Mus musculus: one gene and its partner. The protein of the gene in region 1 purifies or fractionates together with the protein of each later gene. This does not show direct contact. Links are inferred from orthologs where the notes say so. Each region holds a gene or a part of one and is shown on either strand. Other genes may lie near its edges.

What was found. The genes of interacting proteins can lie anywhere in the genome.
Region 2: the proteins of Kpna3 (region 1) and Kif22 purify together in Homo sapiens (affinity purification with mass spectrometry; 3 studies listed by BioGRID and IntAct, counting the BioPlex papers as one, with this or other methods). This does not show direct contact. The link is inferred for Mus musculus from reciprocal best matches to the Homo sapiens genes KPNA3 and KIF22.

Annotation. Positions count from the first base shown.
Region 1 is NC_000080.6:61,370,403-61,374,058, reverse strand, and holds part of Kpna3 (importin subunit alpha-4), read left to right. Parts: intron 1-972; coding exon 973-1,101; intron 1,102-3,083; coding exon 3,084-3,188; intron 3,189-3,285; coding exon 3,286-3,357; intron 3,358-3,513; coding exon 3,514-3,656. UniProt on the Homo sapiens protein: Functions in nuclear protein import as an adapter protein for nuclear receptor KPNB1. Binds specifically and directly to substrates containing either a simple or bipartite NLS motif.
Region 2 is NC_000073.6:127,027,187-127,029,937, forward strand, and holds the end of Kif22 (kinesin-like protein KIF22), read right to left. Parts: intron 2,315-2,751; coding exon 2,149-2,314; intron 1,791-2,148; coding exon 1,729-1,790; intron 1,097-1,728; coding exon 884-1,096; intron 805-883; coding exon 745-804; coding exon of another isoform or gene 655-744; coding exon 607-654; 3' UTR 545-606; downstream 1-544. UniProt on the Homo sapiens protein: Kinesin family member that is involved in spindle formation and the movements of chromosomes during mitosis and meiosis. Binds to microtubules and to DNA. Plays a role in congression of laterally attached chromosomes in NDC80-depleted cells.

The sequences.
Region 1 (3,656 bases):
ACTGCTGGTGTCCACAAATTGCTTTTCTAGTATTCTGTTAGGGACAGCATGGTACATATCTGATGCCTGTGTTCAGTATCCTGTTAGGGACAGCATGGTACATATCTGATGCCTGTGTTCAGTATCCTGTTAGGGACAGCATGGTGCATATCTGATGCCTGCATTCTCCTTCATGTCCTGCTGGATTCCTGGGTTCCTTCTCCATCCTTGCTGCTGAATGCTTAGGCTCCTCCTTCATCCTGCTCTGTTTCAGGTCCCTTTTCTTTTCACTGAAGTCTTCAGTCTGCCTTTGGGATAGTATCCTAACTGCATACCTTTTGCTGTGCTCTGATTAGGGGTTGTTGTAAATTCTGCTCATTATACTTCTCTGCCAAATGTTTTACCAACTAAAAATAAATGCTGACCCAGAATGACATTAAATATATTAAATGCAGGACTGTATATGACGTGGTAGACACAAATGCATGCTAATTCAGAATAATATTAAAGTCTATGGGACCTGTTCAGTGATGAATAAGAACTGTTTTAAAGATGGGACTTCATAAATTTTAGTTTTCGCTATTTAAAAAACTTTCCTAGAAAGTTTTATGTGGAGTTCAATAATTTTCCACTGGGGGCTGGCAAGATGGCTCAGTGGGTAGGAGCACTGACTGCTCTTCCAAAGGACCTGAGTTCAAATCCCAGCAACCACATGGTGGCTCACAACCATCTGTAATGAGATCTGATGCCCTCTTCTGTTGTATCTGAAGTCAGCTACAGTGTACTCATGTATAATAATAAATAAATCTTAAAAAAAAAATACCACAAGAAATTACTGTTTAAAAGCCATTGCTTGGTTTGCTTATGGCTTTGTTGTAGGGATGGAATAAATGTTAATTTTTTGTTCCTCACAGTCTCTCAAGAGTTAATGAAAAAGACGGAAACAACAATTTCATTATAAACATGTTTAAAACTGTTTTCTTCCTCCTTCAGACTGCAGCACTCAGAGCGGTTGGGAACATAGTGACTGGCACTGATGAGCAGACCCAGGTGGTTCTCAACTGTGATGTCCTGTCCCACTTCCCAAACCTCTTGTCACACCCAAAAGAGAAAATAAATAAGGTAAAGGCATGCACTGTTGCTTCTCCTCTCTATGACGGTTTCCTCGTTGCTATTAGGATGTTTATTCAGTCATGACACTCCAGGGGAGAGATCTTTGTCACGGTTTTACTGTTTCATCACTGTCTGCTTCCTTTAGTCCCACTCTCAGCACAGAATAAAAATAGTGAATATTTGGACTTTTTATGTTTAAATAGGTTGAGCAAAATTGGTAATTATTAAGTTATTAACCAGTATACAAAAAATACATACAAAACCTCCCACAAAAATAACTGGTATTTTTAAAAAATAAACATGTAATTTAATCTTCTACAACATAGAAAAGACCTTAGGGTATCATGTCTTCTTTCAAAGATCATAAAATGTATTCCTTTAAAGTTTTAAATACACACACACACACACAAATGTATTTGTAATTGGACAGCAGACACTTAAGTAGTTTTATGTCTTGTTTTAAAGTTCATTTATTTAATAGAATGTTAGAGCTGTGTGTGTGTGTTTATGTGTGTGAGGGGGAAGGACCAAGGTCAGCATCAGTTATCTTCCTCAGTTACTCCCTACATTGTATTTTTAAAAATGACTTTTATTATTTTTAATTCTGTGTATGGGTGGGTGGGCATGTGCATATAAATGCAGGTGCCAGTAGAGGTCAGAAACAGCCCCTCCCTCCCTGAGCTGGTGGAGGTCCAGGAGGTGACTGAGCTGCCCAGGTGTTCCTAGGAGCTGGGCTCTGGTTTTGGAGAACAGATCATGCTCTCACCTTGTGTTTTGAAGCAATGTCTTTCACTGGACCTGAGCACTACAGATCTTTTGTGTCTGTGCCTCACCAGTGCTTGGGTTACAGATATGTGTCAGTGAGCCGAGGTTCTAGATGGGTGCTAGAGATCTCGTCGGGGCTCATGCTCGTATGGCAGGCACTTCACCACCTCAGCCTCCTCCCAAGCAAGCCTTGACCTGATTTGCTTTTATGGCCGAATAAGTCACTCTGTTGGATGTTATACCACATTTTTCTCATTTACCTGTTGAATGACACTGGGGTTGTTGCCACTGCTTGGCTATTGTGAATAAAGTTGCAGAAAACACTGACACATCAGTAACTTTCAAGTCTTTGATTTAGTTTACTCTCTGATGTTGCTAGAAGTTGCTGCAGTCATGGTAACTGTGTGGTAGTTTTTTGAGGACCCTTTAAACTATTTTCCCTTATGGCTGTACTTTACAGTGTATTAGGGTTTCGTTTTCTCTCAAGCTGTGTGGCTATAGTTGTTGGTCACCATGTGTCTCGCATAGGTGCTGAGTACCTGAACGCAGGTCCTCATGTTCTTGTAGAAGGCACCTTATCCACCGAACCTTCTCCCCTGACCTAATGCTTTAAAATAAATATCTTGTAGTGGAAGTAGTTTTGACAAGAATTTGGAAATTCCAATCTTTGGGCATGCCTTTCAAAATAAACTAATACAACTCTGTGGAGAAAGGTTTGAGGCTGCTTTATTTGCTGTTGTATCTACTTAGAATTATGCTTAGCTTAAAGTAGGCTTACAGATCATTACATAAACACTGGGTTTAGTGGACATACGAGTATCACGACTGGAAGCTTCCTTCCTCTTTACTTAAATGGGAAGTCTGAATTGGCTAAATAGCAGGTACAATGCTTGCCTTGTAAACCTGACAACCTGAGTTAGATCTCTAGAGCCACATGATGGAAGGAGAGAACCAAATCTCAAAAGTTAGAATTTGTCTGACCTGCACATATGCACTGTGGCACAGATGTGTACAACCTTTGCTTATATACCAAAACTAGAATCGCATACAGCGATAGTAAGTAAAATTAAAAGGGCAGTCTTGCACAACCGATCACTTTTTAGATTTGGTCACTTTAACACTACTCAGGAGATTTTGTTATCAAATATTTAAAATATTAAAGAGAAAAATAAAAACATTAAAAGTAGCTTTTTCAATAAAAGTGGTCCATATTTTGTTCACTACAGGAAGCAGTATGGTTCCTTTCCAATATAACAGCAGGCAATCAGCAGCAAGTTCAAGCTGTAATAGATGCTGGGTTAATCCCTATGATTATTCATCAGCTCGCTAAGGTCAGTTATATTATAAATTCATTATTTATCTTAATTTTTTACAACCCACATGTTTTTGATAAAGAGCTTACTTTGCGAAATTGTTTTTACATTTTAGGGGGACTTTGGAACACAAAAGGAAGCTGCTTGGGCAATTAGCAACTTAACGATAAGTGGCAGAAAAGATCAAGTGAGTATGAGAAAATTTAACTTGTCACTTTACTAATTTCAGCAAGGGCCCTTCTTATTTTTGTAAGTTACTAGATGTTTTCGTCTGGGTACTGCAGTTGTTAGAGGAAAAAGAATTAACAAATATTACAGATATTTCTTCTCTTGTATTGTCTAGGTTGAATACCTTGTACAGCAGAACGTAATACCACCATTCTGTAACTTACTGTCAGTAAAAGATTCTCAAGTGGTGCAGGTGGTTCTAGATGGTCTTAAAAACATCCTGATAATGGCTGGTGATGAAGCAAGCACAATAGCTGA
Region 2 (2,751 bases), on another chromosome or scaffold:
GGGGCCAGCGGGAGGGGGAGGGACAGGAGGGACTCTAGAGGGCGGAGGGACTGGGGAGCCACCCAGCAGCCCCGGTCGCCCCGAGCGCGAGACCCCCAAGACGGTTGCTGATTGGCTGGCGATGGTGCAGGTGGTGGGCGCGCGGGAGACTAGGCGGCTTCTCTTCCCCCACTTGAACGATTCCACCCCCCACTTCCCTCCGCCAGCGGCCGTTATTTCGCGCGCACGCGCACATAACAGGGACGTCGTTGCTGAGCGGGAGAGTGGGGAGCGCGCCGAGGGAGTTACAGCGGGGCGGGGCTAGCTTGGAGCGCGTGCCCGCTTAACGGTCGGTCGCTGTGCTTAAGCTTTCGCGTCAGCTTTTTGATTCTTCTAGGCCACCGTCCCCTCCCCATTCCAGTGGTTTATTTACAATCTTGGCCTAGTTTGGGGGTTTCCCAAAGATGGCGCCTACATGGGTGTCCTGCAGAGCTTGATCCTGACCCCCAGGGTAGTTATGGACTCTGACCCCAGCCCTGTCATCCTCAAAAACCAGGCTCAACCATGGAATAAAAACTGTATTTACACAACACGTCACTATACAAGGATTTTTAAAAGAAGGTAGTGTCAAGAGGGACCGCTGTGCTGGCTGGCGGCCAAGCTCAAGAGATTCGCCTGTAAAGAAGAGGAACGTGCGTTAGCATAGCAGCCTAAGGTGGGCTGCGGTGGGGGAACACCATGCAGAAAGGGCAAAGGTGGCCTTACCTTCAGGAAAGACTCCACCTGCTTCCCAGAGATGCCTTCCACCTGTTCCAAGTCCTCCACCTAGTGGGACAGCAACACTAGGAAGGGAGTGGACACAGCACGGGGACCCCCCCACTGCACCTGTCCCCAGGGTTGTTACCTCACTGAAGGGGCCGTGGAGCTCCCTCCAGCCCACGATGAGCTGGGCTTTCTTCTGGCCAATGCGCTGCAGGCTGCGCAGTTCCCGAGCTGAGCCTTCATTCAGCAGATCCAATAATTTTTTGCGCCCATGTGCCAGTAACTCTGGGCTAATCTGTACCTCCCAGTAGTCCTCATCCTTTTCCACAGCTTCTGACTCAGGGGATGGCTCCAGCTATGAGGTAACAGAAATGCCAGTAAAGGCAGTGGGTGACTGCCATGACGAGGCACAGTCCATCTCTCTGCGGCCTCTCCCCTCTGGTCACTAATTTTGTTGTGCTTCTTTAATTGCTAGCTCCTTTCTCAGTTGCTGTGAAGAGTCAGTGAGTGACTGAGCGCACACATCAATCCTGATTAGGAAGAAGTGTAATTCAGTGGTAGAGCGCTTGCCTTCCATGCTTGAGGGCTGGGGTTCAATTTCCAGTACAGGGGGGAAAAGGGAAACCAAACAAAAAACCCATGCGGGGGAAACTGCATCATGCCATTACAATGGGGACAGTTCTACTAATGTTTTGTGTGGAGAAAATTATATTTTTCATTTTATGTGAGAGATTCTTAAATACTTGTCCATTTCCTAAATAGGCTCTACAGTTCTTAGAGGGCAGGGGCCACATTAGATCCAGTCAGCAGCCAATCCAAACACAAGGGGCATCAGGGGCATCAAGAAGAAAAGAAACAGTGGTAGATATTTTCTATGAGACACATCCATACCTCACTCCCCCACCACACCCCCTCAAAAAAGCTCTATAAGGCATCTTTAAGGCATTATGCAAAAGGCTCCCAGCTGGAAAATGGGGTGGGACTCACCTTCCTTTTGGGGCCTTTCTTCAGGAGCTGGATTTGGTTTGAGGACTCTCGCTGCTTCTGAACTGAAAGGAATTTGGAACTGGTCAAAGACACAGGCCACCTCCTGCCCTCCCTCCCCTCCTAGTAACCATTTGCTTCTCCCATTTCTATTTCCCTAGCTCCTTCCTTTCAACATGACTTTTTTTTTTTGAGGCAGGGTCTCATTCTATAAGGCTAACCTAGAACTCATAGTAACCCTCCTGCCTCACCCTCCTGAGTGGCACCATAGCCAGTCAGTACCCCACTGTCTACAATACTAGAGGACAAGCATCTAGGGCTTCTTCAGACCCAGTGGGAGGATGAGTGACATGATAACAGCATCTTTCCGTCTCTTCCTTTCTGAAATAGCTGCTTCTTCCTGGAACCTGGAACTAAACTTACTCCGTTGCAGGGGCATCACTACAGCCTTTTTCAGGGGCTTTGCCACTGTGCCACTATAAGAGGCAGGCGGCTGGAGAATTGTGGGAGTGTTCTCTTTTTCCCTTGGATCCGGTGCCTCCTGGGCCAACACCTTGGCTTCCAGTTCTTTTTGCTTCATCTTAAGCCTCTGTCGGAAAGAATCATGGGAGATGTGATTTAGCTCCAGCCCCAAAGCAGTGGATTAGGAAGGTTAGCAGATAGAGTTCTGAGGTCCAAGAGGAGAGACAGAATTCAAAATAACTAAGGGAGGTCTACATCAGAGGGCTACCTAAAGACAGAATGAGTCCTTTTAAGCAAGGTATTCAACGTGAGGAGGCTTTGTTTTTTGGTTTGTGGGGTTTTTTGTTTTTGTTTGTTTTTTGGCTTTTCAAGGCAAGTGGTGAAACTCAAACTCAGAGATCTACCTATCTGCCTTCAGAGTGCTCGAATTAAAGGTCTGCAACACCACCTCATGTTTTAAAGATTTTTTTTTTTTGATTATACAGTGTTATACCTGCATAGGCACCAGATCTCACTGCAGACGGTTCTGAACCGCCATCATGCCGTTGCTGGGGCCTGTACTCA